Daphnia pulex: one gene and its partners. The protein of the gene in region 2 binds, or shares a complex with, the protein of the main gene of each other region. Links are inferred from orthologs where the notes say so. Each region holds a gene or a part of one and is shown on either strand. Other genes may lie near its edges.

Region 1 (10,661 bases), on a different chromosome or scaffold from region 2:
ATCTTGTCGATGGACATCTTCCCCCAGTACATATTTTTCTAATCGTTTAAGTCGTTCTTCAACAGCGTCCAGTTCAGAACTCATCTTGTAAAAACTTGAATCAAAACTTTCGAGATTTTGGGGGATCACTAAATGTGAAATATGCCTAATTCTCTGAATGCCGCTGTTGAAATTAAAAATAATGAAAGGTGTAATATAGTTATCCGGTGTAGGCTCTCGGCTCTATGAGATGAGCTGTGTGCAGCTGTCACTGACTCACTGCGCTCACTGTTAGGAAAAAGTAAATAAAATTAAAAAAATAATAATAGAATGCAACGCTGTGTGTTATGCTTACTGTGGTTACGCAAAAGGAAAATTCTAACAAAGATTTGTACATTGACCAAATATCGTGATTAATAATTTTTTTTTTAAATCTTTAGATATTTAATTGCTTTTCATTTAAATTTAATTCAGGGTTAGGGCTACACGGTGCGTGTAATATTTTTATATCCTTAGGCGATTTTTACGCCACCTGCTAGTCATTTTCTGAAACGGTATTGCATTTAAATTTAGGACGTCTTGTTTACATTTTGTCACTTTCTACCACGGTGGACGGTGATTAAGTTAAACCCGCAAAAAATTTTTAAATATATATATATATATATTTTTTTTTAATGTTCGCACTGGAATAAGCTGAACTTAAGAACTTTATATTGTTTGTTGTAATACCATTAAGTCCTTAAGGGATAGATAAAGACCGCTCACAACTGGTCTTTATCTATGATTTAGGCGTTAACTGCATAATCATGTAGCTCCTGCACAATCCCAGAAGCTCGTTTTTCTGAAGCTACCGGCCCTCTAATAAAAATTCATGACATAAATTTAAAAAAAGAAAAGGGTTAAATAGCACATGGGATGCGTAACGCTATTTGAAATTATCTAACTTCTCGATCTAAACTCGACAGTATAGCGCTATTACTTGGCTTTGCTCGAAAGCCAGCAAATTTATGTTAAAAGTGCAAGATCGGGAAAATAATATTCACACGCTTTCGCAGTCGTTTAGGGTTATAAGCGGGTGACCGACGTTCAGGCAAGTACCTAAATCAGTGTTTGTTTTGTTGGCTGGCCCCGTCTGTCCCGAAGGGTTCCCAGTACTGGCCTGAAGGGCCCGGTCTGAACGTCGTAAATCCTTATAAACTTATAAGTTATAACTTATTCTAGACCGCATTTATTGGTTAACATTGTTTTGGTGCTACACTGATTTATGTTAATTTCGATATAAAGAATTCGTTTTCGTCACCGAAACATTTATGAATTATGCGAGAATCAGTAATGAACAACACAGATACAAGTGAGTGTGTCAGGAACGTCCCGCCGCAAAGCCTGAGTTGCCTCAAACAGCAACGCTTCATTTTCTTTAAAAATTTTTTGAATTTTTTGGATGGAATTAAAACCCTCGAGTGGACCATCGGTGATTTCTGATTACATTAAAATGGAATTCTCTCTTTAGAAAAACAAAACAAACATTTTTATGCTGAGTAAGAAAGCAGCCAAGAAAGGTACTAGGTAGAAGGTTTGGAACTCGTTGGAACTATTTCCACAGACAGCGCCATTGGGCCTATGGTGGCATAGAAGAACACTGCATCAAAAGGAAGATCGAGGTGCCGTCTGCCGTTTTGTTTGTTTTGTTATATTGATCGTGCGAAAACATCACGAACGATTTCATTTCATAGTTGGTCCTTTTGGTGTGGCAATCACGCACTTCATTGACGTCATAATACATAAAAATTCGTATTTATTCGCGTTTTTTTACCGTGTTCATGGTATTGCTTTTGAGTCAGCACAGGCATTTTGATTTTCTCAACTTACCGATCACTTGAAACTTAATTTTCCTGGACCCACTTGATTAATTCGTCGTAGTGTAAAACTTTACCTTTTAGAAAAAATACCCTAGTAAACAGAATGTTTCATTCACCAATTTTGAATTGTATTTCCAAGAGGAATGTCTCCTTTTTCACTTCATCCAACTTATTGCTTAATGGTAGATTTTTAGAATTATTATAAATTTATTCCATGTTTGCTGTGAAAATATGTTTATTATTGGTTTTTAGGGGGAAAATGCCATCTGAAGATTTTAGGTACCAAAAAAATTCAAACAGAACCTTCTAAAACAGATTTTGCTCAACCAAAACCCACAGTAAATTTTGAAAAATGGGTTGCAAATCTATCACCAGCACAACAAAATTCCCTTCTTTCTACTTTATTAAAGCAAACACAAAGTAAAAAACAAATTACTTAAAGAAATTATTTTTTTTGTTGTTGAAGTGATGCACTTACATTATTATTGACAGTGTCTTCAGACAATTCACCACCTCCTTCTCTGAGAACATCACAGCTCTTCCATGGTAAACTAGAAATATTATTTATATTGCAATTTTACTTAATGGTCCATTCTTGATTTCAGTTGGAATACATTATTCCCTTCCTTTCATTGGGTTTGGATTTTTGGACAATTTTATCATGATTATTGCTGTAGGTTTTTCAAAGTGGATTAAATTGAGGCCTTCCATAAAATACGTTAATTCACGCGATTTCTTACACCCTCTAAATTTCCCTCATAAAAATTTCTCTTACTTGCCGCACTCCTGTAGGCGTGGTTTCATTATGGACGGCCTCTATTTCCGTTATTGAATGTGCTTCAAACATTTTTAACATAATATTATATTTCACTTTATCAGGGTGACTACATAGATTTAACAATTGGAAGTATGTTTGGTATTTCTACTATGGCAGCAGCTGGAATAGGAAATGCAATATCTGATGTTGCTGGAGTAGGATCTGCTCAGTTCGTCGAGTCTTTTTCTCAAAAACTAGGAATTCCTCAACCCGATCTCGAGCCTCGGCAATATGCTTTTCGATCAACTACTTGGGCCATTAATATCGGACGTGCTATTGGTGTTGCTATAGGATGTGTGCTTGGAATGGTACCACTTTTATTTTTACCTACATCTGACAGCAAACGGCATTCAAAGGACCCTTCATCTCATTTGTGATTGGCATGTCCGATATATTATTAGTCTTATAACCTTACAAATACGTGAACCTAAAATAATTATTTAAACTCATAAAAATGACATTTTGCCGCGCAATGGCAATGGATCCTACTGCGACTTGGCAACTTTAATGTTCGATTCTTATTGTTTTGCACATTTTTGAGCATTCCGATGAACTAACGTGGAGATTCTTCACATAACAATTATTTATATTGCCCACAATTGCTGTTCAATCTTGACCCCATTATTAGAGATATAGCCAAAGAATTTTACATGTTCAATACAATATATTCTAACACTTGGTAACTCATTCACAGAAAACACAAACAAAATGGTATGCATAAGCCAGTTTATTATTAAGGATTCTCAGAGGATATTTAGAAAAACGAGATGGTTCACGCAGGCCTTGAACGCACTTGGTTGAACAGACGATCTTTAATTACTTGAGCCAGCAAACCATGAAGAGCTTCAATGGAAGTTTTTGTAGCATCACGAGCTGCTTTAGCTAGCCTATCTTCCGATCTTCTATCCTCAATGCTGGAGCCACTCACACCAACGCCGCTTCCGACTAGAGCCGCCCGTCCTAGAGAGTTTTCAGCTTGCTCAAGTTTTTCCGAAAGGTCCGATACTTGACCTGTTGTATAATCAGCATTCTAATAAAAAGAGATATTAATACTTTTTATAACATGATATAACGCTTTGAATATTTGTTCTTACTGTGGTGAGAGATGAAGAACTCAATGTGCTGACCCAGTACTTATTCCATAATGAGTCTAATAGACGGCGATCCAGAGCTGATTTAAAGTAAGAAACCTCAAGGGCATAGTACTGCTTGCAGTGGACACCAAAATCTTCAACCTTATTGAGTGGGATGGTTTGATACTCACTTGGCTCTTCATTTGGGGGTTTGTAACCCTAAGGAAAAATAAAAAGTAAACTACTCTGTACGCTTGATAGAAAAATATATCTGTTCACCTTAGGGTATGTACGGAAGGCACCAAGACACACCTTGCCAGCTGAAATAGTACGAACAGGATCTACAACAATAGCAACAAAGGGTTCCTGGAAATTTTGGTTAAGCATCTGGGTAGAAACATCAATTCCTGATAGCCAGCATCCATATCCAGGGTGTGAATGGTACCATCCAATGGCATTTTCAAGACGATTAACCTAATACTCATATTCCAATTAGTTACTTAAAAATGTGATCAAGAGCAAATGTACTTGCCTGTTTAGCTGATTCTATGTAAGCAGTCATGTATTCATAAGCCTGTGACTGAGCATTTACTCTGGTTTCTGTGCCTTCAACTGGCAGGGCAAATGCATCCATTACCACCATTGTGTTTGCATCTACTTTGCCCAAAAGCAATCCCATCACTTCTAGATGTCCTCCAGACCGAGCATGAGTAACCATTTTCAACAATGCCAAGGCTGATATACGGATCTCTTTGAAGAAATGAGGGCTAGAACATAAAACGTAAAGTTGTTAACATGACTTGATACAAAATAAAAAATAATATTACTCTTTATCCCATGGTTTAGCAGCCAACATGTCTTGCTGTTGCTTTCTATCATATCGATAAATTTCGTCAACTGAACTAATATTTTCCACATTATTAGCCATGAGCCAATTATTCAGGGCTATGTTAGATTGTGAACTCATCTTGGATGTGGAACACACAACCAATTTTACTTGAAACCTCTTTTTGCAAAAGACACTCTAAAGTCCAAATGGGGAAATTCGAACGAGGTATACCAGTGCTGAATATATCAAATCCAAACGTACAGCCGGAAACTAAATCTCATCGACTGTTGATGTCGTCTACGAGACTACGACCTACGGGTCTTGTTTTGCCTTTGGCATACTGGGAGCTGCTGGGAGAATGAAGAGGTAAAATGCGGGTCGCGGCGGTGGTAGGAACAAAGTAAAACGTAGGATTTCAGCCTCAGGGATGGATTGGACGACTGCGATTGCCTAGTCTGCTACGACTGCTACTTCAGTACTTCTGACTTCTCCTACTCCATTAGTCCATTGTCCATTGCCTCACCACTAAATCCCTATCTACTCTTTTTCCCACGTTTTACTATTTCTTACCGTGGAGTTGCCGATGCCCGATAAACAAATTCAAACTTGTTTCCAAACATGCTTTCGTTTCGAGTGTGGCAAATTAAACATAACCGTAGGAAAATACCTTGGAAATATTCATTATCTAGTTTAAATATTCTTCATAATTATAGAATACATTTTTCAACAAAAAGCCAATGCAAAGAAGAAGTATCTATTTCAAACAAATGTGTTACTATTAATCCGTGTGGTATACAAATGTTATCAAGATCTATCCATCGACAGATATTCGAAAAAGAAAACAACAATTCTGTATCTAAAGAAACGCTGTTAAAAATTCAGCAGCATTTATCAATTCACCATCTTTATGGCAAATCACCAAGTAAACTCCCAGATATTGATTTGAAGCTCCCAACTTTATTAGGAAAAAACATAGCAGAACACTTTGAAAAAATTGCTGAAAAACAATGTGGAAGTTACCGTAATAAATTGTTAGATTTGACATCACATTGCATTCCAGACATCCCTCAAGTCTGGAACTTTGCACCTGGATGGACAAGATACAACCAAAATGGAGAGATGGATCTAGTTCATTTTCCAGAAGAGGATGCATATGTCTTTGATGTGGAAGTCTGTGTGAAAGAGGGCCATTTGCCAACCCTTGCAACTGCAGTTTCAAAAAACTACTGGTACTCATGGTGTAGTAATCAGCTGTTTACTGAAAATAAGGTTTATTTTTATTTTTCTTAATACTTTTTTCACCCTATATCAATGCTTTATTATCCTACTTGACAGGTGCAAAGTTCAATTTTGAAGGATATGGAAAGTATTTATGAATTAAAGGACTTGATCAACTTGGAATCAAAAACGGAACAAGACCGTCTCCCTCTCAAAGATCAAAAAGAGCGTATCGTTATAGGACATAATGTAAGTTATGACCGTTCGCGAATAAAAGAGCAGTATTTCATCGATGGCACCAAAGTTCGATTTTTTGATACGATGGCTTTGCACATAGCGATCAGTGGCATCACGAGTTTTCAAAGAAACATGCTCCTTGCCGCAAAATCTGGTACCCCTATTGATCGTTCTCTGAAAAATCCCCAGTACTGTAATGGCAAGTCAAGAAAAACGGAAGAAATTCTAGAGTGGCAAAATGTCAGCTCATTTAACGGTTTAAATGATGTGCACAAACTTTATTGCGGAGGATTAGGTTTAGATAAAGAGAAGCGAAACATCTTTGTAACTGGTTCTCTAACAGATATTAAAGACGATTTTCAGCAATTAGTAACTTACTGTGCACGAGATTGTCAAGCAACTTACCGAATACTTTGTGTTCTTCTCCCCGAGTTTCAGAAGCGATTCCCACACCCAGTCACGGTAAGTTTTTTTTTTTCATAGATAACATTTTTGGCATTTATTTTTTCTATTCAGATAAATTTTCCTCTTCAAGTTTATTGAATTTATTTTTCTAGTTGGCTGGGATGTTGGAAATGAGTACATCGTATCTACCGGTAAATCGCAATTGGCAACGATATTTGCAAGAATCTGAAGATACATACCGTGATTCAGAGAATGAATTAACCCAGAGCTTGAAACGAGAAGCTGACCGTGCATCCCATATGATGACGGATAAATCCTACGAAAAGGATCCCTGGCTTTGGGATCTTGACTGGTCAACGAAACCGCTGAAAGTGAAAAAAACGTCGGTGCCAAAAAAGAAAAAAAGCGCAGCTGTTATACCCAGCATAAATAATGAAGAACCTGAAAATCAAACAAATAAAGAAGATAACGACGATGAGATTCTTGAAATTCAAAAACTAAAATGTCAGTTTCAAGAATTATTCAATACCAAGGAACTGTTATTCAAACGCAATTCTTTCTTGCCCGGGTATTAATCTCAGTTTTTCATTTATGTTAGTATTTTATTTCTTTTTCTAAAACACATTATTTTCATCCCGTAGTTACCCAAATTGGTACAGCTCCTTATGCGATCGCCTTCAAGATGGTTTGATCGGCCCAACTGAAGTGTCAACATCAGCCCAAGTAGTAAGTACCCAAGTACCCATTATATTTATTTATTATATTTAACCCAACTACCCATTTACCCAGGTACCCAAACTACTCAAACTGACCTGGGACGGATATCCACTTTTTCATAGTCGTGAACTAGGTTGGGGCTATCTTGTTCCAGGGAGACCTTTAAATTTGTCTCGAATCGATGAAGATGTGTGTGAGATTCCTTTTCCGTTGAAAGAAGCATTAGCCCTTTTCCCACCTCGGCCTGCTGACCAAAATGTTTTGACTAAAGGAATTATTACCGCTGAAGAAGCCATGCTGAAGCTTAGACAAATGACGGATTTGACTGCTGATCCTGTTGACTTGGCCATGCAGTGGCAGGTGATTTTACTTTATTTTCCCAGCTTCACCCTTTTCTCGCCAAACTTACCACCCATCTTTTTATAGGCTACTCGGAGAAGTTTAAACAACGACGCAGATCAAGCGAATCTTCATCCTGCGATTGACAAATCAAAAGAGAAACACACTTATTTGACATCCGATCGACCTGCTTGGCACGTAGGAATAGGCCCTTATGACGTTGGTGTGGCTGGTTGTTGGTTTTTTCGACTCCCGCATAAATCTGGTGTTGACAACAATGTTGGAAATCCGCTTGCCAAAGACTACTTAAACAAAATTGAAGACGGTACTTTAAAAGCCACTTCAAGTTCCATTGCCGAACATGTTTTAAAACTAAACCGCAATAGTAAGCTATAATCGACAGATTATAAGATAGATATAAGATAGATTTATAATAGTATAATATTTTCTTTCTGTCTTCTTGAATCCCAGTCATCTACTGGAGAAACGCTCGCGATCGCATTATGTCACAAATGGTTGTGTGGCTTCGACAATCTCAAATTCCTCGCAACGTGACCAAATCTGAACATTTTGACCCATTGAATACGTATGGGGCCATTCTACCACAGATCGTAACGTCAGGCACTCTCACACGAAGAGCAGTTGAATCTACCTGGTTGACAGCTTCAAATGCGTACAAGGTATTTTTTTTTATTGTTTATATTCAAACAAAATTTAAAATTCTCAAGTATTCTGGATGTTTAGGATCGGATAGGATCAGAATTAAAGGCTATGATCCAATGTCCTCCTGGCTTTAACTTTGTCGGTGCGGATGTTGATTCTCAAGAACTTTGGATTGCATCTATAATTGGGGACTCATTTTTCGCCGGTCAACACGGTTCAACTGCTTTTGGCTGGATGACTCTTCAGGGCAAAAAAAGTGATGGGACAGACATGCACAGCCGAACCGCTGCAGCCGTTGATATTACGAGAGATCAGGCCAAAATTTTGAATTATGGAAGAATTTATGGGGCTGGCGAACGATTCGCAAGAACTTTGTTGATGCAGTTCAATCACCGGTTAACCGAAAAAGAAGCTACAGAAAAAGCCCGCAAAATGTACTCATTGACTAAGGGTAATTCTCTCCTCAAATTAAGTCATTATGGGCGGCAATTAGCCTCTGCTTCGGGAAATAAAGATGAGTTGGTAACACTAGAACAATTAAGTGAAATGCGAAAAAATGCAAGAAAGGAACCCAGCCTGAAGAAGATCGCCAATTTGCCGACAGACGAATTAGTTGAACGGCGAATGTGGGCTGGCGGAACCGAATCACACATGTTCAACAAACTGGAAGAAATTGCACAGTCGGAGTCGCCGCAGACTCCAGTGTTACATTGCCGGATCAGTCGTGCCTTGGAACCCCGAAATGTTGGCAACGAATTCATGACGAGTCGCGTGAATTGGGTAGTCCAGAGTTCCGCCGTCGACTATCTTCATTTGATGATTGTGGCAATGCGATACCTCGTTGATGTGTACAAGTTAGTAGTTGTTTTATCATTTTTAATTTTATGCAATTCCTTAAGTGTTGAATTTGTTTTCTTTTAGAATTGAAGGCCGTTTTTCAATAAGCATTCACGATGAAGTTCGGTACATAATTAAGGAAGAGGATAAATTCCGTGCTGCATTAGCGTTACAAGTCGCAAACCTTTGGACCCGGTGCATGTTTTCATATCAAATGAATTTGAATGATTTACCTCAGGCCGTTGCTTTCTTCTCGTCAGTGGATATAGACACGGTATTACGCAAAGAATCAAACATGGACTGTCAAACACCCTCAAACCCTTATGGCCTCAAACAAGGATATGGCATAGATTTTGGTTGCAGCTATGACATTTACCAAATTTTGGAAAAGACTGGTGGTTCTCTCGATTCAAAAACCAAAAATTGCAGTAAAGAATCTCCTGTGAATTAGCCTTAATGTTCCTAGAGAAAGTAGTTGCTTCGTGTAAAAATCGCTTATTGGAATTCACGTACCAATTTGAGTTATTCGTAATAATGCTGATAATTTAAAAAAAGCCTAAGCTTTCTCCGTGATATACTTGTTCTAACAATTGAAGTAATAAACAACTCGAAAACTGAAATCAAGTAATAAAATTGTTATTCTCAGTAAATTGATTGTTCTCCATTTAATTAAAATACTTTTTTTTTCAAAATCAGTAATGTTTTTTTTTTTTTTAATTTGTAATCCCATTACCTTTAAGCAAGCAAAGATAAGACCAAAGCTATTAATGAAGTAAGTTTCGCATTTATAAACTTGTGCTTTTTGGTTTATTTAATTAAGCCGTCATGAAGACTGGAAATTAGTTAGTGTGCTATACTCATTATTGCTTTTTAAAATGTACATTATTTAAAAGGAAATAAGATAAATTTTTATTTTGAAGGAGAAGCTCTAATTCTTTACCTTAGACGTTTTCAGCGCTCCAAGCTTTCCTTATGTTTAGTCATTCGTATTTGTCATAGTGAACACACGCTGATCTGGAGCAAAACGATATTTGAATTTATTATTAGTTCTTATCAGCGTATATCGGTGCACTTTTGGAATTATTATGTAGACCTAGTACATAAGGAAAATTCGCACACCTATCCGATCCTACCATTGGATCATGCAGAAGAGCATCCCCTGAAAAACAAGAAACTGAACACAAGAATATTAGAATACTCCTCTGAACATACAATGATTACGTCTTCCGAATTCAAGATCAAAACAAAAATAATTCAACTTGTCACTAATTTTTAATTAAAATTCCTCTAAAAATTTATTAAGTTTCTTTTCAAAATTATAGCGCTTTCTGATTTGAAATTCGGTTAAAGGGGTTTGAGCTTGATACCTAACTACTAGTAACTACTCGCATTGGAATGAGAAATTAGTTGTTTTTCTTTAAAAAAAAGAACTAGGGAAAAATATTCTCACGCAAACCTCACAGACGTCACGGTTCGCGGGTCTAGCTGCTGGGTCGGGTCGGGTCTAGCCCGGGTCAGTTGCGGGCTGCCGGCCGCCTCCGGGCTCAGACAACAAAACATGAATACCGTTACCGTCGTCTGCTTTTGTCAAACTCGAATAGTGTTGACAAATAATATCAATAACGTTTGAGTATCGTCTCCTTCTTATAGTTATGATATATTTTCATTGTAGAAATTTAAAATGAATG
Region 2 (10,510 bases):
TAGAAGATTTATTTTTTGGGGTTATTTTGTTTAAGAGCCTTTTTTTTCTAAACGCTCCGGAGCATTCGAATAAAAGAGCATCCATCAGCAATGGCGAGACGTTGTGCAAGAGCTACTTCGGTTTGGCCACGCTCCAAGTGCTTCGACCGGCTTCGACAAAAGACGACGGGAAATACACAGCCATATGGCCAGGGTGAGAAAGCGCAAAGCGGCATACATGCATTCATTGCCTTACTCATTATCAAAATCAATTAACGGCGAATTATCTTGTGTAGAATTGATGCCCAAATAGCTATACCGGCCAGTTTAATTTCAGAAACTATAACCTATTTATGTCTGAGTCTGTAATTATTGACTTTGTACGAAAATATGTATGAATAAACCAACAGAACTTGTTACCAAGCCCATCTTTGTTATTCAATTACTCTTTGAATCTGTTCAAACTACAATAAACGGTGGAATTCAAGATGTTCATATTATTTATTTAAATTAAATAATAGTATCATTTTTAAATTTCAAAAGTAAAATATTTCGCAAGTAGTTTCGCAATTTAGGATGCCCTTGGGCGTTCAGAAATTTAAAAACTGGATATTTTTTATATTTCAAAAATCAAAGGTTTCGCAAATGGTTTCGCACTTTAGGATGCCCTTAGGCCATTGGACCCGCGAAACGGTCCCCAATTTTTGGGACCGTTTCGCACCACTGTTTCGCGTTTTAGGAGTTTCGCGTTCCGCCGTTTCGCTTCGCGTTTTAGTAACACCCACTTTTGTTTACGACTTTTACGTAACTCAGTAAAGACGTTTTGGCTAGCTTCATAATTTATAAAGAAAAATTTTCACAATGGCTCAATCAAATATTTTTTCTCGACTTCTACATCCAATCAGACAGTTAACATTTAGGGTAGGTGTTGATTTGTTAAAGAATGGTTCATGAAACTAAATTGTTATGTAATATTTTCAATAGTGTGATAAAGTTACCGTATTGAGATTTCTGTCATCCGACACCAGCAGCGGAGATATGTATGAATTCTATAATCTTAAGATTTTTTTTCATTGATAGAATAATATAAGTTGTTAAAAATATCAGGTACCCCTCACCTCAAACTGAACCATGGATTCCACCATATGTTGAAAGGGAAAATGAGTCATCCACTTTGAAAAAGGCCAGGTATTGGTTTTCTCTTCAATTACTTATATCTGAGTTTATTGTTGTAAACAATTTTCACATCTCCACAGACTAATGTATCAATCCAGAAAACGTGGTATGTTGGAAAATGGTTTGATTCTCAGCACATTTGCCTCACGCTACTTGGATGGAATGAGTGATGATCAAATGTCTTTATATGACAGACTGATCAATTTACCCTCAAATGATTGGGATATTTACTATTGGGCAACTGGTGTAAGAGAGACACCTGAAGAGTTTAACAATGAAATCATGGATCTATTGAAGGATCATGTAAAAAATAAAGATAAGGAATCAAGATTTAAACAACCTGATTTATATTGATGATTTCCATATGGATGATTGTATTTAGAATTGATTTAATACATCTTAAATCTTATTTTTCCCACCAACTTATTCTTGTATTGCATCAACTCTCATTCTTTGATGAAACCTCCAGCAAGTATGCTTTATAAACTTTTTCTTGGGCTTGCCATAGTTTCTCCAACTTCTTAAGCTGGCCTTTGCTGACTTCTTTGCCATCCTTGTCTAAGGTTGGCATCCCTTTCTCGTCGAAAGCAGAATATTTATCCGTTTCACCTAGATCAAAGAAACACGTTAATCATTTAAGTTATAATGATTGATGGCACAAACAATTAAATCTATCTTTACTTCTGAATAGTTCAGTGGGAGGCATGCGTCGTTTTGCTTCCTTTTCGGCTTCTTTGGCTGCTAATTCAGCCTTTTTACGTTCTTTCTCAGCTTTTTTGGCTTCCTCAGCCAATCTTTTGTCTTCTTTCTCCTTAAGCAGTTCCTCACGTGGGACAAGCTTCAAAGCAGGAGGCTGATTTTCCCGATCTTCGAGTCTTACGCCCAGGTTAGGCAAAACGTCATCTCGAATTTGATCGCAAAGTTCGAGAACGCGTGTTGCACGTAATTGACGAGCCTCTTTTCTCACTTCTTCTCGGAAGTCTGCGAGCGCTTCAAGGACAGGCATTACGATTTCTTCAACATTATCGGTACCTCCACTAGACGATTCAGAGGGGAATCCAAGGGTTTGCTTGCCTTCAATCACGCCAAAGATCTGGAACAACCGCGTTACATATTCGGCAATGACCTTGATTAGAACCCGGTTGGCAGATTGCTTCAGCTGTGCCAGGTATTTATTGCAAGCCGATATCATGCTTTTAATCGCTTCCAGAGACGTTTTAGTGTCTATGTTATCGCAGAGAGCTTCCCGTACTCGATTTTTCGTTTCGACGAATCGGGTGTTGACTTCCTGCTCAGCTGTGCTCCATTTTTGAAAATATTCTGCGGCAGTATTCGATGACGGGCCATTCCTCAAAAGATCCTTGGCATTTAAGAAGAATTCCCTTAGCATTTTTTCGTAACTCGATGCTTCATCCATTGCACTGTCACTATAGTCGAGTGTTTCTTTCCATGGGTGAAGCAAGAAAAAGATGCGCAATTCGCGGCTGCTATTTCTACTCAACGCATCTTGTATGGTGATGAAATTCTTGAGGGATTTAGACATTTTACAACCCTGTAGAATAATGTCCATTATAGTTTTCTATTGGGTGGAAGAACGGAAAAAGTTTACGGAAGTTTGTATAGTACCTGGATGGTCAGATGACCAGTATGAAGGAAATAGCGAACCCATTCATCATTATCGTAGTAGGCTTCAGATTGGGCTAGTTCATTGTCGTGATGAGGGAACTTTAGGTCGACGCCTCCTGTGTGAATATCCATTGATGACCCTAGAATTGCACTTGCCATCACACTGCATTCAATATGCCACCCAGGACGTCCTGAATAGAATAAAATAAAATAAAATAATTTAATTATTAATTCATTACGTTGGTTCGACATTTTTTAGTTGAATTTTACCTTTCCCCCAAGGAGAATCCCAGGAAGGTTCACCACTCTTTGAAGTTTTCCATAGCGCAAAATCGTTAGGTGATTTTTTCTCACTTAACCGATCTTCAGAGACACTTAGATCACCTTCTCCTTCTTGCAATGCCTTTGAGTCACCGTAAGCTTCAGGTACCAATTTCGCATACTTGTGATTCTTTTGCGAATCGAACTTTGAGACATTGAAGTATACAGAGCCATTTGCTATACAATGACAAAAGAGTCATTAACCGTGACGAGATAATAGAAAAAAAGAGATAAAAACTCACCTGAATATGCAAGTCCACGTTCAATGATTCGTGAGATGTAATCCACGATCTCCGGGACATATTCGCTAACACGCGTAATAACATCGGCTGGTAGAACATTGAGAGCGGCCATATCTTTGTAAAACTCTTCTTCCCAATGTCGCGGAAGAGACGCGAAAATTGCGTTATCTGAAACATCCATGCCGTGCTTCGAGTCGAGCCAATCGCTCAAGACGTCTTTGGCTTCAGCCAACAAAAAGCTCTTTGCTTCGGATAATCCTTGACCAAGCTTGATTGTTTCGGTGAATTTTTCAATCGCGGCAGTGACTTTGGCCAACATCTTCTCCTGCATAACTTTCTTGTCGGGATCGGTGGTTACTGCCATTTGCTTAGAAAGACGATCAACAGATTCCTTGACATCTGTTTGAAGAGTTTCAAGTTCACTCATCTCAGTTGCATACTTTTCATATAAATAATTTTGCCTTGCTCTTTTAATAATTTTGTCGTCAATATCAGTGATATTCATTACATAAGTAATGTCATATCCAAAGTAGTCTCTTAAGACCCTTCTCAGGATATCAAAAGACATGTATGAACGGGCATGTCCCATGTGGGATGCATCATAGACTGTTGGTCCGCAAGAATACCAGGTGATATTTTTCCCATTCTGAGGAGTAAACACCTCCTTCTTACGAGTCAGACTATTGTAAATCTTCAGCTCCATGCTGCTGTTGTTTAAGGGGGCTTCAGACATAATAGGTGAACAAGGTACAACCAATTTCTCAATGTGTTCCAAAAATTATTATTTATCCCTTCGAAACTTCTCACTCTGTAAGTAAAATCTAGTCATTAATATTTTGAAATGTCTGATGCAATAGTTAAAATGTCTTACTTACTTCTATCTTCTACCTAAATTGCCAACCACTCCAACTATTATATATTTTTGCGATTTGCACGTTAACAGATTTGTGAATGTCACCAGTTAACTTTAACGTTATAAGGAAGTTAACAATTAATAAATTTGAAAAATAAATGCTGGTTCGAATGATAACGATCAAATGAATCCGAAACCGGTGCGTACCTTTGACGGTGTATTCGGTTTGTTTCTTCCAACACCGCAACACGTCAAGTTAGATAGAAATTGCGAGTGAGCCGATAACAGCGATAACAAATGTGGTGATCTTTTATGCTGCAATTTTAAAAGGTAGTAATTTTTTTAATAATAATTTTAAAAAATCAAGAACTGGTTTTAGAAAATTTTGGAAAGCGTGAAAGTGTTGAAACAAAGAATTAAAAAAAAAAAAAAATCGTTGATTTATCTGTAGGGGAACACGGTGGCAATGTCGCCATTACAGACGAACTTCTGTACCGGGATCGTGAGCGTGGCCTATATCCGGATTTTTTTGACAAGCAACTTCTAATAAAGGAATCTTTTTTTCCAGTTTGTTTTGAACAATTTATCAGGATGAGTTTACCAGCATTTATCGATTTAACGGTCGAAGAACAGGTTAGTTTCCCCATAAATTTAGTCCGGTAGATGCTAAACTGTTGTGGCGATGAAGTGTGGAGTCTGCCAGTAGCGTACACCTTTCTGTGTTATAGACAATTTTCCCTACTAGTATTTCTAATTTTTATACCTGTTTTACCACCTGGAGAAAGCAAATAACTGTTATATAGTACTGAGACAAAATTTAAGACATCAAGGCTTTGAATTGGTCATTGTATTCATATCTGTCTTTTTAGGCTACTGAATTGTGTAGCTATTTCAAGGCTCTTGGAGCATCAAATGTGGATGATGATCAAAACTCAGATCTTAGCAACATTGTTGCTGTTGCAGATCTCTGTTTCAAAGTAAGTGACAATTTTATTTCAATTAGTAGTGTGTGTTTACACTATTTTCTTCTTTGAAGGAGGGCAATGAAGTGGAATCTGAGGGAGTCTTGAATAGCATTGTATCTATGCTCGTTCTTCTCCCCAATGAAAAAGCTGAACCAATAATTACTACGTTTTGCCAAAAGCTTGCAAAACCCCCCTCAAACAAGTTGGGACTTGTTTGTCTGAGAGTGTGAGCATTTGAAATTTGAAGTTTACATAATGAATTGTCTAACTATAATTTTGATTCTTTAGTCTGTCTGTACTATTTCATGGGCTTGATCCTGTGAGTACAACGCGTTACACGGTCTATCACACGCTAGTCCAAGTTGCTGGACAAGTGGAACAGATGAAGACAGTGTTCACGGATCTAGATAAAATGCGTACTCAACTAGGGCCATGCAAACCTAACAACGAGCAGATGCAAAAACTCCTCCGAAGTTTACATGAAGCTCTCCTCAACTCCAGAGAAAGGTAAAGTATTGAAGTTAAACAAATAATTGTAACAATAAATCAAACCAGTGTTATTATTCAGTGAACTGGCCTCCAAAGTGATGGTGGAGTTGTTGAGCACTTACACGACCGAAAATGCTTCACAGGCTCGTGAGGAAGCTCAACGCTGCATTGTTGCTTCATTGGCTGATCCCAACACTTTCCTTCTCGATCATTTATTGACTTTGCAACCTGTGAAAGGTTTATAAAAATTACTTTGAAGTTAAATCAGTTATTAATTAATTTTTGTGTACAGTTTTGGAAGGTGCCCTTTTGCACGATCTGTTGACCGTATTCGTGACGGAAAAGCTGTCAGCTTATTTGAAGTTTTATGAGGAAAAGAAAGATTTTGTTGAAGGACTAGGTATTTACTGGAAATTTTTAAGTATTTTTTTAAGAATTTTAAGTAACAATGATTTTTAGGTCTGAAACATGAGCAGAACCTTCGAAAAATGCGAATTTTGACTTTCATGCAGTTGGCTGAAAATTCCGTAGAGCTCCCTTTCGAAACGCTCGAGAAGCAATTACAACTAACCGAAGATCAAGTAGAGGAATTTGTCCTTCAAGTCCTTAAGACGAAATTGGTGCGCGCACGAATGGATCAGTTGAACAAGAAAGTGCTTGTTTCATCAACCATGCATCGGACATTCGGCAAGCAGCACTGGCAGCAGTTGCGTGAGTTGCTGACTACTTGGCGAGGCCACCTCAGACAGGTCAAAGATTCCATGCTAACCATCGTTAACGAGCAAGCCGAACTTCTCGCTCAGCAATCCTGAACCGATTAGAGAAGAAACAAAAGACTTCAAATTATCCCGCTATCCATCTCTATTAAGGTTTTGTGGAAATAAACGATGACGCCGGCACATTATCTGACAAAATCAGACTTTGATCATTATTTCTGTTTTGTTTCCAACATACTGTTGTTTGAAAGTAGGGTAGGAGATAAAAAAAAAATTCTTTTTTTATTATGCTTATTATATGCAACGTGTAAACGTGAGTTAATTCAGGTAGTCTGATTTTTGGCCGGCAGATGTCTCTTTTTCTCACGTGTTGTCTTTTGAAGATCCACACATTTTTGTTTCAGTAGTTGAGAAAAATCTTTTATTTATTACTCAGAATTTTTGGTGAAAATGTCTGTCTATCACGATGAAGTTGAAATCGAAGATTTTGAATATGATTCGGACAGTGAAATTTACTTCTATCCTTGCCCTTGTGGAGATCGGTTTGAAATCACCAAAGTAATGTGACGTCCCCATTCCTTACTCAGATTCCAAGCTTATTAAAAGGTTTACTTTTATTTCAACAGGAACAGCTAGAAAATGGGGAAGAGGAAGCCACATGTCCGAGTTGTTCACTTATAGTAAAAGTAATATACAACAAGGTATGTATATGAGCAAGTGGAAGTTCTGGAAGCAACTGGCTTTCAGCCTGTATAGCATTACACAATATGTCTAATATTTAGTTTTAAAATTTACTTACATTCATGAATGACATATTTATTTAAACATACAGGAAGAATTCATGCAGAGCGAGGAAATCACGTATTCATCCCCAAATAAGAAAGAGTCACTCACAACATAAACTAGTTATTTTAGTATACTTAAGTAGGATTGAATAATTTTCAGAAATTGCATTTTTTTGTGTATTAAATTTTGTCCATTCTAAAATTTGCCATGAAGAATCACAAATGAATCTTGTCATTTATCATTCTTATTGCTTCTTTCACGATTGATCTGTCCAATTGAGCTTGTGATCAATCCTCTACTGTTAGGATCTTCTTTATTCATTTCCTTTTGCTTTTCTTCTATGTCTTTCATGAACAACTTCCTAAAATGAAAAACAATATTCAAATATCTCCTTTGCTGGAATGAAATTGAGATTTATCAGTTCTGTACTGAGCAAGTCTTTCAATGTCTCACCGATATTGAAACCCCATGTAGAATGTTCCCAAAATGAATCCTTATGAAGAAAACAATTTTTAACCAATTACTATTCAATGGCTTTGTAATTAAATTTACCAAAAACGATTGGAAATCGAAGAAAAGCAGCTCGACTCCTTGACGAATTTTTCATTTTCATCAGTACCTACAATGTATACTGTATACAATTATGGGTAGATTGTTATTATGAAGTAGTTTTTGATCATGGTCGTGGTCGACCATTTGGAGTAGAATGATCTGTGCGGCATCTAGCGAGGACTTCCTAACTTGAAATTTTACGAAGGTCTCGGGAATTTTCAATCGAATTAATTGAACGTTATTTAATGAACGTTTACGTTTCGGGAATTAATAACTATTACTGATATAGTGATTAATGTTAGAAGTTAAATGAAATTAAACTATGTTTAAAATAACCATTAGCTTAAGAGAGGTTGACTTTGATTACCATTACCATGAAATAAGAATTTTATCACACTGTAGGATGATGATGATAAACTTAAGAGAATGTGTCAATGTGACAATTTCTTTCCACTTGTATTGTAACTACTAGGATCAAAGGAAATAGTTAGCCATGTTATGTTATGTTCTTTTGCTCATCAGTTTCAATATTCTCTATTGGTTCTATGCTGAATTTAGTTTCTCTGCTGCTAGTTTTAAACATTTTGAATTTGCCTTCTTTTGCAAGTTCCTTCATCAAGTCATTATACATTTGTTCCTATTGTTAAGAGAAATGATTAAATATGATAAATTTGGTACAGTACTATTATGAATTTTCCATTACCACTTTTTTCTCATCTTTTGAAACATTTGAGATGGATGCTTTAACAAAATGGCCCTTAGAAAGCCATTTCCTTATATTGTTTAATTTTGCATCCAAGTCATGCTTTTCAATTTTATCTTTAAATGTAATCATCTTGGGAGACTTCTTCTTAAGTTTGGCAAATCCTATCAAACAAAGCACTCAATTTTCATCTGACCAGTATGTAATTGAACTTCTTTAATGTTTACACCTGAATACCTTCATCATGGAGTTGGGAATCAATTGAAGAAGAATAACGACGAATTAATTCCAACGAACCTAACTGGATAGTATTTACTTTTGCGTGGGGGCGAAATTGATTTTTAGCTGCAAGCAAGGTAAACCTTCGAGCTTGGCTTATAACTCGACTCATGGTTAGAATTGCATCACATACAGGGACAGTCGTTCATATTTAAACTGACCTCGATATTCGAGCAATAAAAGTATAAAATCTTTAGCAACAACCAAATGGCAAATACAAACTTAAAGTATCAAAAATAATTTTCTACTCGTTAATCGACTTGTTTTGAAAAACAAACGTCTGCTATATGGAACGCCAAAGTGACGCAAAATTAACTGCTTGAAATTTACTGCAATTCACCACCGCCGTCTAGCGGGCGGACCGAAAATCGTCGTTTCTCTGCCTCTTTTGGGGAGGGGTTCTAAGCTATCGATTACAATGCAATAGTTAGCTTAACAATTGATTTGCAATCGTCTCAGACGAATGTTATTGTTTACAATCGCAAGGTAAAAACAAAAAAATCAAAGTGGTTCTTTTTGCTCTAGCAAATTTTCATTAGAAGGACATATCTAATAAGTGAAGCCGTGATGAACCCTTAAAACTCATAAGGTAAGTCTTCTTTACACTATTTCGGTTCAAAAAGAATGCGAATGTGAATTTAATTGATACTCTGCTGTTACAGGAGAAGTGTTGATGATAGTCAAGGACTGTCGAATAGGCCATTTGCAAACGTACTTGCCCAATCACCGACATAACTCGAATTTGATTGATTGATGGAAATCTCTCAGTTCCGGACATGCAGGAAATACTGCATGCATTAAAAGGTACTCCATAACTTATTTCCGTAAATAATTTTCTAACTTTGATTTCATACATTTAGAAAGCAAGGTTAAAGAGAAAGCAGTGACAGTGAGATACCTAATACAAAGAGGCAGATTGCAATCACATACTTCAACTCAATAGTCCATGATGTAAACTTGGCAGGTGAGTTGTTGTCGAAATTTTTTAAATCTTACAAAGGCTTGTTATTGTCTTTTCGTCAATTCTAATAAGTCCCAACACATTTATTTAAGCTCAATTGTTAATGGAATTTATTGACAGGTGAATGTGAGCAGTATCATACTGGGTTTGCCAAGAACACCGAACACCCCAATACCAATTTGTTGCACTGGCCATGTCCACAGCGGACTTAATATCTTGAATAACTGCCAGAAGAATGGATTATTGGACCTGCAAAAAACTGAGTCTGTAACTGGGAATTAATTAATTGAAAACGAGCGTTGTTACATGTTTGGTTGTAATGACTAGACAAGTTGTGGAATTCCGGAATAATTAAATTTTTTTTTCCAAATTAGTTCTACCCGGGAAGGTACTCTACAACACAGCTGTGACGGTCAGGATCAAGTGCGACAACCGCACTTGCTTTACGACAGCGAGGACGAGTCAGACGAGCGGGACTGCCATTCGGCTAGCCCGTGCACCGATATAATAAATATTCTTTAACAAAATAATAGAATGATTTCTGTCAATCAACATTGTCATCATAAGTCAAATGTGATTCCCCCCAATCGTCTACTGCTCAAATTTTTTCAAGAAATAAACGAGAATTCTTACTTCTCTTTGCAATTCAATTAATTTTATTGATTAATTAGCTTTTTTCATTCAAGAGAATTATTTTTAATGTAATTAACTCTAATAATGAAGTTCTTGACGTACTTCCCGTCTCATCTGTATGTATCTCCTTTTGGCTATCTTTAATCGGCATAGGATCGATCCGTATTTTCTTTTGAGCCTACGCTGAATTGCTCGATCAATATTTATTTCTATTGCGGGAACATGAAGC
Region 3 (10,789 bases), on a different chromosome or scaffold from region 2:
CTTAAAAATGTCACTTTAACAACCATTAGTTTAAATAGATCAGAATTCTATCCCTTTTTAAATGAATTTTTCCCACTACAAGTTAAATTTTAGTTTGTTAATTCAACATTTGCAAAGCACGGGATGAACAAATTCAGTGAATGTTTACCTTTATTTTAAGTCCATCAATTTCAACTGTTTTGATCATGAAATCAACTCCAATTGTGGCTCCCTGCCCAGGAGGAAATATTCCCTTTGAATATAAAGTAAAAATTTACATTGAAGTGTGGTATGTTTAATTAAATCAACAGGATTGTCATACCTGAGTGAACCTTCTGACCAAACAAGTTTTCCCAACTCCAGCATTTCCAATCAAAACCTGAAAACAAGTAAGAAATTAAGAAATGTTGGCTGATGTGACAGTTGAAATGATTTCAACTGGCTTCAGCTTTCATTAAATTCTGAATGAAATCCATTAAGTCAAACTCACAACTTTGAATAGATACTTATAATCTTCCATTGATATGAAATCGACTATCTACGAGATAGCAGTCGAAAAACTAAAAGTTCTGAGGAGACCTTTTCACATTTAGTCACTAACGGTAAAGGCTAGATAGGGAGATTTCCGCTTCACTGATTAAACAAGCCATTTCATTCAAGAAGTTTCCCGAGAACAAATACTATGTGAATGTAATCGGTTGCTCGTGATGTCTGCTCCCGAGTTGTCTTCTATGTCAGCGCTATCTTGCGGTGGATCAATAATTCAAGATGGTAAGTCACGCAGCCACCTGGTGATGATGGTAGATAGGTGACAGCCGAAGCCCTAATTACCAGCAAAAATCCATGGCGAACGAAACAGAAAGTGATCTGAAAAACTCAAAAACCTGTGAGGATCACAACAACAAGCCCTTCTCATGGAACGACACATACGTGATGTCTTGGAAGAGGAGGTAATTCACTTGGCCCTTGCTTTTAGTCATGATTCACAGTTTGTTTATGAAAAACAGCTTTATTGCTGCTTATGAAAGACAGCTGTTAAAGTTGTTGTTGCTTATTGATTTTTTTTTCTCGATAGGTCATCTACGATCAATCACAATTTGGCCTTTTAAACAGCCAAATTGATGATAGTTCTTTAACTCCTCCTCTTCTGAGTGATCCTGTACGTAACAAGAAACCTCTAAATAAATTGGGTAAATTGACAAGGACAGCAGCCCTCTGTGGGGCCTATATTTCACTTGTAAGTTAATCATGTTTATCAGTCAAGAGTTCATAATTACTCAAGGTATCACATTTTACAATAGGGACTATGTATGTCAGTAACTGGACCTACATTACTATATCTGAAGGATCAAGTTGGATCTACCATTTCAGAAATTTCCTACATCTTTACAGTCCGATCAATAGGAACTTTAGGGGGTGCTTTCTTCGGTAACAGTAATTTAATATGCTCAATCCAAGTCACAAATTCAAATCTATATTTGATAACAGGTGGCTTTTTTCTTGACCGCTGTAATCCATATTCAGCATTTTTTGTGGCTATTGCCTCAATGGCCATAAGTGTTGGAGCTATGGTAAATAAGCTTAAATCAATAAAATTACTGCAATTGAAATCATGATCCTTTTTTCTTCTACAGCCATGGTGTAAACACGTTTGGATGCTGATGGTTTCATCTTTTGTTGTTGGAGTGGGTAATGGGCTGCTGGATACTGGAGCTAGCACCCTTTGTCTTCAGTTATGGGGAAGGGAATCGGGTCCCTACATGCAGGCTTTACACTTCTCTTTTGCCGTCGGTGGGTCGATCGCCCCTTTGCTCGTGCAGGCTTTCATCGTTGAAACTTCAACTACTACCCTTAACAATACCATCTCATCACGCCATGTGCGCTCCGTCACTAATCCACTCAACTCAAGTGAATCGGAAGATCAAATGACAACAATAGCTTCGATCATTAAAGCCACCAGTGAAATTCCAGTTTTAGTTACTTCTAATCTAGCCATCCCTTCATCCAATTCAACTATCCCAACAGCATCCAATTCCACATTTGGAGATGTTACATCGACAACAACTATAAGTCCAGTTGTTAACCAAAATCAGACAACGCCCTTGACAGAAAAGCCAAAGAAACCGAAACCTGCCGTCATTAATGGCCAAATTCTAGGCCCTTCGAAGCAGTTTGATAATACTCCGTTGAAAGTAGAGACTCAACCGCCCCAGGAAGTCGTTGTAACTACCACGACTGCGTCATCCAACGAAAATCAAACTACACCCGCCATTACGCTTACATCCACCGATATAACAACAATTCCTCCTTCCATCAATGGTACCCCGAAAGCTCAAGATAACATGACGGAAATAACGATGATACTCCAAAAATCCAATGAAGTCCAAGGGCTCAATATCGGCAGCAGTGACAATAATACTTCTACCGTTTCATCCAAGAATGCGTCTGAATCCACCGGAAACGATACCGTCACTTCTTCAACTTTGAGTCCTGTTACTGAAAACTCTACGATAACCACCATTCCTCTAACTACTGTAGAACCCGTTATCAATTCATCAAACTTAAACGCTGAATTCCAGCCTAAAGAAACTGCCATCAACAACGTAACAAAAGGTAATTTTAACAATCAGAAAATAATGTAAACACGATTTTAATATTGAACTTGTAGGTGCTGAACTTAATGTTAAAACATTCCCTACTACAACTCCTCTTTATTCTTCGACGACGTCTCAATCAACTACGGCTGTTTCAACTACAACTTCGACAACGACGACACCATCCTCGATAGAATTGCTACCCACGACCATCAAAAACATTTCATTACCCATTCCAGTTGCTACAACATTGCCAGTCGACCTTGCAGATAATGTTGTAGTCAAGAGTCGTGGAAAGAGCAGAGGTCAACAAGATGAAGTCAGCTCGGTGGTTCCCTCGACTACGCTCGTACTTCCAGTCACAACTTCCGAGCCTAACGTACTTGTGACAACAACAAATTCACCCATCCACAATGAGAGCGAGACTATTGATCGGTCCCCCGTTAAAGTTTCTGACTATCTGGAGCGTTTTGGAGTTACGCGGATGCACATGTTGTATACCGTTATCGCCATCATCGTCTTGCACACAGCCTTTTTCTTTCTCTTCTTTCTGTGTTCTGGAACTCGCAGCTCGACCGCCGAACGTCAAACGTCTGATCGGAAAGTTAAACCTTTCCGGCCCAGCGCCAAGATATCCTTCGTCGTGCTGATGTTCTCGTTTTACTTGATGTACGTCGGCTCTGAGGTCGTATTTGCTCAGTTCCTTACTACATTTGCGTTGGAGAGCCCACTTAAGCTATCGACTTCGACTGCCAATTACATCACAACTACATTCTGGGCCTCGTTCGCGGCCGCACGATTTGTAGCCATTTTCGTTGCCCACTTCACCAATCCCACAGCCATGCTCATTTTCAACTTATGCTCTACTGCGCTCGGCTCGATGACTCTCTGTGTTGCTGGGCAGACGGACGCCACTATTTTGTACGTCGGTTCGGCCTTGGTTGGCGTAGGAATGGCTTCAACCTTCGCAACAGGCTTCATATGGACCGAAACACACCTGCTGGTAACTAACCGGATTTCTGCGGCTTTCTCAGTTGCTTCTTCAATGGGAGAGATGATATTCCCAACGGTACGTTAAATTTAAATGCTAATGATTTCCACTACGTATTTATAACCCGTCTGTTTTGTTTACCGTGTTGATACAGGTAACAGGCGCATTGATCGAGTCGAATCCACTTTCCCTGATGTACATAGTTCTAGGATGCACCATTTTTATCACGACAGTCTTTTTTGTAGCCTGGTACCTGGCAAAACGTAAAGGACGAGGCTTTAGCAGTAACAGCAGGGGCTATCATCTTGCACGTCAAGCCGAGGATGAATCAGCGCAAAACTAGATAACTTTACTTTTTTTTCACTTAAAAATAATGTTTAGGTGAGGTAATCCTCATTCCCTTGATGTTTAGCTTAGAAAGACAAAAGAGAAAGGTGAAAATTCGGTTCATGTCTGTGATAGAGGGTTGAAGAGCTTGATTGGAATCCATTTGCGTGTATTTTTTTTATCCCTTTACATGATCGTAGCATCCAATATTTGATGAAGGAATTTTAGGCTTTTTTCACTGTGTTCCCGATGGTCTGTTAAACGATTGAAAAGAGAAAGATCAGTTTCATTTGACTCGTCAATTTAAAGAACTAAATTGTTAAAAAATAAAATTTTAAAAATTCCAGTCATGAATTTCAAATTCAGCTCACAACTATTTTGAATGAAATTAAGTGAATTGAGAGCTAACTTACTTAGACCATTCGACAGTCAGGATAAGATGGTCGTAACCAAAACCATTCAAGGTCTTGATAGCTCGTTCGGCGTCTTCTCGTCGTTTGTAGCTGACAAATGCAAAACCTCTGGATTGGCCAGTGTTTTTGTCCTAAAATTCAGTTTGAAGCGGTGCCATAATTTTTACAAAATGATAATTAGTGAATAAATTTGAGTCTAACCTTTGAGAGGAAGATGCGTGAGATTTCGCCAATACGGCCGAACAATTCTTGAAGATCGGAATCGCGAGCGTTTTCCGAGAGGTTGGTTACTCGTACAGTGCACCCTTCATCAGCTGTTATCGGGAAAGAAAAGGGTAATCATTAAATAATGTTTTTCCTATGTATGTTTTCTATTACTTCTCCGGTGGTTTTAATAATATGAAATAAACTACTATGAAGAAACTGTATCTTACTTCGTCGACCCATAGCCATAGTCTCTCCTTTTCTGTTGCCACCATCACGAAGTGCAGGTGCAATATAGGCGCTTCCTTCTTTACCACCCTTGGCTTGCGGTCCTCCAGCAGCAGCTGCGGCAGGAGGCGGGCCGGCCTTCTTCTCCTCAGCCTTAATTAAAGAGATATAGAGCAAAATTAGCAAGAGTTCAATTCAAAATAAAGAAAATGTGTTTACCTTATTGAGTGCTTCTTGGACAGGCAAAAGTGTGTCCTTGTAAGGACACTGTGTTGTCCAATGGTCCTCTTTACAGATACGACACTTAACAATGCCCTTCTGCATGCTTTTTAACTTCATAAGAGGGTCATCTTCCTTGTTATCAGGATCCTCTTTGTTCGTAATAAACTGTCAAAGTAAAAATGGTAATTAGCATCCAACGGTTTTGATAGATCAACTGAGAAAAGAAATACCTGCATGGCTACATCTTCAGATACAATTGTTGTTGCAGGGTTTGGTCCTGGTTTATCTTCCTTGGAAAGACCAAATTTTGGCCAACTTTTACGCTGGGCAATGGCTTTAGCTACATACCTTTTCTCTATTTTGTAAGTACGCACCACCTTGAACTTCCTGTTATCATCATCAAGACCATACTCTGTGACAATTTTCAGCCCATTTTTGTATTCTTCAGTGTTAGGGGGTAAACCGAGACCTAAGGAATAATACCGGCATGATTAAAGAAAATCTTACATTAATTACGGGGAAGCGGCATTACTAACCATCGATATCCTCAACGTCATCGGCCCAACTGGATTTAACTCTGAAATCATATCAAGATTGTGTTGTATTTTTAATATTTGCACATTAATTTGTCTCATTTCACTTACTCATTATCAGCAACCGGCATTTTTCTTGGAGAAGATTGATTACGTCAAGTAAATAATCAAAAAGTAGAAAATTCACTGCTATTGCAGAAATGTGTCAGCAAGCAGCCATTAGAACGTGTGTAGAGCGACATTGCCAGTTTTGAAAAATTCATTTCGTAATTTTGACTGCTTTTACAATTTCGTCTGCTCTTCTTCGAATACAATCCCGCCGTTTATGAGATTCCGGCACGTGGAACTCGAATACAGCAAAAATGGCTAGCTTACCACAGAAAAAATATTATCGACAAAGAGCACACTCCAATCCTATCGCAGATCACTGTTTTGACTAGTGAGTATCTTATTTCCAGTTTTCGATTTATCATTAAGTCATTTTCTAACCCAATTTGTCGTTTGAAGTCCTGTCTCTCCCAATGACATGAAATGGGATGAGCTCTATCCTACATTCAGCAAAGATGGAATAATGAAACACAAAGTTCAGTTTGCTGATATTGGATGTGGCTATGGCGGTTTATTGAGTATTTTTATCACATTTTGCCAATAAAATATGTGGAAAATTAATTTTGTATTTTTTTTTAACAGTATCATTATCCACCATGTTCCCAGAGACTTTAATGTTAGGAATGGAGATTCGTTTGAAAGTTTCAGAATATGTCCAGGATCGCATAAAGGCGTTGAGGATTTTGCATCCAGGTGATTACGGAAATGTTGCCTGCTTAAGAAGCAATGCCATGAAGTACTTACATTTATTTTGTTCATTTACTTGGGCATGTTTGCTTAATTTATTCTATGCTACTAGGTACCTCCCTTGCTTTTTCGATAAAGGACAATTGACAAAAATGTTTTTCCTCTTCCCTGATCCTCATTTTAAGAAGGCCAAACACAAGTGGCGTATTATCAATGACACTCTCTTGGCTGAATATGCCTATGTTTTGGCTGAAGGGGTAAGTAGGCAGGCCTAGAACGGCCCTTCTTTAGCTACTTGATGTAGATATCTTGTGTGATTAATTAAATTTTACTTTAGGGTTTGGTTTACACAATTACTGATGTTAAAGATCTTCATGAATGGATGGTTATGCATCTAGACCAACATCCATTATTTAAGAGACTAACCCAGGAAGAGCTGGTTAGTTATACTTTATAATTAAATAGCTATAAAACTACAAATTCTTTTTGCGGTATCAGGATCAAGACATTGTAGTTCCAAAACTGTACGAATCAACGGAGGAGGGCAAAAAAGTCACGCGAAATAGTGGTGATAAATTTCTTGCTGTATTCAGAAGAATTCCTGATCCATTCGTACTTGAAGAAAACAAGTGCTAATGTATACAAATTTGTTTGCCGGTTCCCTGCTCGTCACTTGTATTGCTCCCAATGGAACTGTTTGCTGGAATTCACATAATCAACCAGCTTTAAGCTGCCATTCAAAATAGGTGACCCACGTTTTATGTATGCATCGCCCATGCGCAGAACAGACAAATTTTCCAAGATCAATAGTTGTTGACAAAGAACTCATAAGGTATGTACGGTATTTTGTAACTGAAAAGGGAGCGCGCGCAAACGTGTCAAATGACGAATGGGCACTTTGAATTAAAGTTTCATGGAAATAAATTTAACATTCTCTTTTTTGGCAATCCATTTGTAGATCTGTTTGACTGAAGGGTCTTTTATGAATGATTTCCTGATTTGTAATGTTTCTAGTTTTCAAAGGGATTAACTTGTATCTTTTTGTGGAGCTTGAGTTCTTATTGATTCATTTGCTCATACGATCGATACGTTCAATAATCTGCTTCATAGAGAAAAAAAAAATCGTGTTAAGTTTCCGTCGTCTACGTATCGACCATGTGTCAGCTGACGATTTCATGGGAAGCAAAGGAACGTGGAAAAAAAACGTCACCATCCATCCTTTCAACTTATTGTTATTCGTGTTGAATACCATTTTGTAAAAATCTTAATCGAATTAGGCGCGTAGGAATTCTGCGACGCTGTGAAAATGGGATGGGTTGAAACTCGGGGAGCGTGGCATAAATGTAATTTCACTAAGCCGACTAAGTGACTAAGACGAGATTGCATCACTGATAGTGATGTTTATTGTTATAGGATGTGAAATCCTAGCAGGCGGTAGATGAAAGAATATATAAGGAAATAATATTCCGATGAAAATTTATGGTGCGCATCAGCGTGACCCATTTGTGCTGCGTAATATGATTTCCTGCAGTTTTATTTTGTTTGAAATATTTAAACACTTGACGGATGGGAAACACTTGAATATGTTCGGCTCCGGTCCGACGGCTTTTCGTCTTATAGAAATTTCTTCGATCCCCGAGTCAATATTGGGACACTTTCCGATGCGGTTGTGCAATCGGCCGCTGTGTGGCGTATCTCACAGTCTATGCAGCCATGTTGAGTTGGCCTGGCCATATTCGAGCCAGTTCGTGCTATGAGAGACGGTGCTGGTGCGCTCTCTCCAACCGCTGTCATTCTCTACCCAACGTCAAACACGGTTCCACCGACAGTATTGTGGCTGAAAAAAGATTAACCAACTCCCTGAAAGTCTTCTTGTGTTTTTTTGTGAATTTCGTTTCATTGTGCAATCCTCTCTGTGGTCCGCCATAGTGGGGAAGTTCCCGACTGGTCCGAGTTCTTTTTGTAACGTTAGGCTCGACCGTCGAAAACACCATCGAAAATGGCAGGCAATCAGGGAATGGAATCCCTTATTCCTCTCGTGAATAAATTGCAAGATGCCTTCACTTCGTTGGGGGTGCAAATGTCTCTTGACCTACCCCAAATTGCTGTTGTGGGTGGGCAAAGTGCAGGAAAAAGCTCTGTGCTGGAAAATTTTGTTGGCAGGTGGGATTAATTTCGAGAAACCTCCCCTTTGTTTTCTCATAACTCATTGTTTTTTCACTTGTGCAGGGATTTCCTACCTCGTGGCTCTGGCATTGTCACTCGACGTCCCCTTATCTTGCAGCTGATCAACTCTCCTCAGGGTAAGTAACTTGGCAAATGCAATACATGTTATATCTGTGAGTAATAATCAATATGTTTGAACTTTCAGAATATGGAGAGTTTTTGCACTGCAAAGGAAAGATCTTTGCTGACTTTGATGAGATTCGTAAGGAAATTGAGGCAGACACTGACCGATTAACTGGTACCAACAAAGGAATATCCAACTTGCCCATCAATTTGAGAGTATACTCTCCTCACGGTAAACCAATTTTACTTCACAAGTCCAACTTTACTTACAGAAAAGTTTAGAGTTTGATAATGGTTATTTATTTAAGAATTTAAAATGTCACACAATTGAACTAGACTTTGGGAGGGTTTAACGGCGTTATTAAAACACCATTACAAGTAATGGTGGTGGCCAAAACATGTCGCCAAGTTCTTTCCCTTGTCTAAATCTTCCGACCCATCACTACTCACACTGGAGTATACGTCCACATATAGAAAAGTGTGCAGTCCCGAGCATTGCTCGGGATGAACGGATCAATACCTCCTGCCCGCTGCGAGAGATTGGCACTATACAAAAAAGAGGAAAAATAAGGAACCCCCCTCGTTGGTCGACCACATTTCCATGATTCTTGCATCATCGATCATTCTCTCTTATGTAGCCAAAGAACCGCCTCATCACCCCCCGTCCGACTAGGCTCCCCACGACGACTTGATCGACAGACTAAATAGTTGAGAGAGTAATTAGATTGGGTACCACCTAGAGGGGAAGCCTCCCGTCGACTCAACACACTCGTATGAATGAATCCAGCCATTGCTCTGCCTATACGACAACCGGAGTAGCATTTGAAATAGCCATTAAAAATGTTAAACTTTAGTATTGTGGACTGGGGTTTATTTTTCCGGGAAAAAACCCAAATTCTGTATGTCTTCCGTCTCGAGGGTATACGCGGTTTTGTATGTATCGTGTATGTGCGCGCAAAAGAGGGGCCCTCTCAACTGTGGGAGGATCGAGGCTGGTCTGATCGATACGGCCGTTTGCCGTCTCCTAGGAAGAGAATGAGCAGGAAAAAAGGGAGAAATAACGTAAGAGTTTTTCTTTTCTCGTGCAGCACCACTCACAACAACAACAAAAAAAGAAGAAGAAAGATTACTCTTATTCAGATGCTGCTACACTCGCCCATCACACCGTAGTTTCGTTGTGGATTGGTCGCCATGTTGTGTCGATGCCTCTACAAGAAAAACTTTTCTCTTTTTTTTTCCCAAGGAATTCGCATAAGTTTTTCCCTTTTTTTTTGGCGCCATTGACAATCAATAGGAAAAGAAGCTGAGTCTTCTGGTCGATATTAACCTCAAGAGAGCAAAAGGGAACAGATGGGATGAAAGAAGGAAAAACAAATTGAGGATAAGACTCACACAAAAGTTTTTGCTCTTTTTCTCAATTCTTACCGAAAGATGTCTTATCTAGGCCGGTTATAGTGGAACGAATATTTGATCTGGTAAACTGACCTCTTGAGGCACGCACCGAGTCCGAGCGCTTCCCCCCCGCAATATAATGTAATAAAAGAATGCCATTGACCGGAATCTTCTTACGAGCCATTCGTGTTTTTTTTTTTTCGGAGGGCTTTTTCAATAATAAAATAACTCCCACAAACTCACGACTGTTGCGTGTGTGTGTATGTAGTGCTGAACATCACCCTGATCGACTTGCCCGGTCTGACCAAGATCGCTGTTGGCGATCAGCCTTTGGACATCGAGGCTCAAATCCGAGACATGATTTTTCAATTCATCACCAAGGAGACTTGCCTTATCCTGGCAGTCACTCCTGCCAACATTGATTTGGCTAATTCGGATGCCTTGAAATTGGCCAAGGAAGTGGATCCCGATGGTATTTCACATTGCGAAATTATCAGCACGAATACTTGGCAGCTTCTGTATTTATGAATGGGCCCCCCTCGTGTAAATAGGCTTGGCGTGTGTGGGTTCTTTTTTTAGTTAGTTATGTAATGAATGATGATCGCATGTCAAGAGTTTCTTTTTTATTATTTTTATTTTATTTTTTTACCGCTTTTTGTTTTCGTGTTGTAGTTCTTAATTTGACCCTGATTGATTTGCCTGGCTTGACGAAAATTGCCGTCGGTGACCAACCTATCGACATTGAGATGCAAATACGTAGCATGATCCTCACCTATATCACAAAATCTAGTTGCCTCATCCTGGCTGTTACCCCTGCCAACA

Evidence for each region.
Region 1: eukaryotic translation initiation factor 3 subunit M-like (region 2) and COP9 signalosome complex subunit 5-like share a complex: the UniProt entries of both Caenorhabditis elegans proteins name them as parts of the CSN complex. The link is inferred for Daphnia pulex from reciprocal best matches to the Caenorhabditis elegans genes cif-1 and csn-5.
Region 3: eukaryotic translation initiation factor 3 subunit M-like (region 2) and eukaryotic translation initiation factor 3 subunit G-like share a complex: the UniProt entries of both Caenorhabditis elegans proteins name them as parts of the eukaryotic translation initiation factor 3 (eIF-3) complex. The link is inferred for Daphnia pulex from reciprocal best matches to the Caenorhabditis elegans genes cif-1 and eif-3.G.

What each region holds. Positions count from the first base shown.
Region 1 is NC_060026.1:5,020,812-5,031,472, forward strand, and holds COP9 signalosome complex subunit 5-like, read right to left. Parts: upstream 4,764-10,661; 5' UTR 4,696-4,763; coding exon 4,556-4,695; intron 4,496-4,555; coding exon 4,261-4,495; intron 4,203-4,260; coding exon 4,008-4,202; intron 3,948-4,007; coding exon 3,750-3,947; intron 3,686-3,749; coding exon 3,428-3,685; 3' UTR 3,368-3,427; downstream 1-3,367. Other genes in the region: dynactin subunit 3-like, read right to left, coding at 1-84; transmembrane protein 65-like, read left to right, coding at 1,942-2,020, 2,091-2,258, 2,331-2,384, 2,444-2,511, 2,718-3,032; uncharacterized protein LOC124204230, read left to right, coding at 10,655-10,661. UniProt on the Caenorhabditis elegans protein: Probable protease subunit of the COP9 signalosome complex (CSN), a complex involved in various cellular and developmental processes.
Region 2 is NC_060019.1:9,156,152-9,166,661, reverse strand, and holds eukaryotic translation initiation factor 3 subunit M-like, read left to right. Parts: upstream 1-4,649; 5' UTR 4,650-4,788; coding exon 4,789-4,830; intron 4,831-5,066; coding exon 5,067-5,174; intron 5,175-5,233; coding exon 5,234-5,388; intron 5,389-5,450; coding exon 5,451-5,669; intron 5,670-5,730; coding exon 5,731-5,888; intron 5,889-5,943; coding exon 5,944-6,051; intron 6,052-6,110; coding exon 6,111-6,463; 3' UTR 6,464-6,565; downstream 6,566-10,510. Other genes in the region: succinate dehydrogenase assembly factor 2, mitochondrial-like, read left to right, coding at 841-900, 964-1,019, 1,087-1,167, 1,236-1,509; cysteine--tRNA ligase, cytoplasmic-like, read right to left, coding at 1,595-1,764, 1,837-2,707, 2,782-2,972, 3,052-3,279, 3,345-4,077; DPH3 homolog, read left to right, coding at 6,818-6,925, 6,994-7,068, 7,200-7,268. UniProt on the Caenorhabditis elegans protein: Component of the eukaryotic translation initiation factor 3 (eIF-3) complex, which is involved in protein synthesis of a specialized repertoire of mRNAs and, together with other initiation factors, stimulates binding of mRNA and methionyl-tRNAi to the 40S ribosome.
Region 3 is NC_060023.1:11,173,741-11,184,529, forward strand, and holds eukaryotic translation initiation factor 3 subunit G-like, read right to left. Parts: upstream 5,740-10,789; 5' UTR 5,623-5,739; coding exon 5,603-5,622; intron 5,536-5,602; coding exon 5,495-5,535; intron 5,428-5,494; coding exon 5,189-5,427; intron 5,124-5,188; coding exon 4,956-5,123; intron 4,890-4,955; coding exon 4,739-4,889; intron 4,728-4,738; exon of another isoform or gene 4,619-4,727; coding exon 4,506-4,618; exon of another isoform or gene 4,436-4,505; coding exon 4,305-4,435; exon of another isoform or gene 4,146-4,304; coding exon 4,127-4,145; 3' UTR 4,044-4,126; downstream 1-4,043. Other genes in the region: ras-related protein Rab-30-like, read right to left, coding at 149-232, 302-358, 470-499; flocculation protein FLO11-like, read left to right, coding at 894-929, 1,055-1,216, 1,281-1,407, 1,468-1,550, 1,614-2,592, 2,648-3,642, 3,719-3,907; tRNA (guanine-N(7)-)-methyltransferase-like, read left to right, coding at 5,854-5,930, 5,999-6,117, 6,182-6,335, 6,399-6,543, 6,624-6,725, 6,785-6,922; dynamin-like, read left to right, coding at 8,286-8,449, 8,516-8,589, 8,658-8,807, 10,236-10,439. UniProt on the Caenorhabditis elegans protein: RNA-binding component of the eukaryotic translation initiation factor 3 (eIF-3) complex, which is involved in protein synthesis of a specialized repertoire of mRNAs and, together with other initiation factors, stimulates binding of mRNA and methionyl-tRNAi to the 40S ribosome.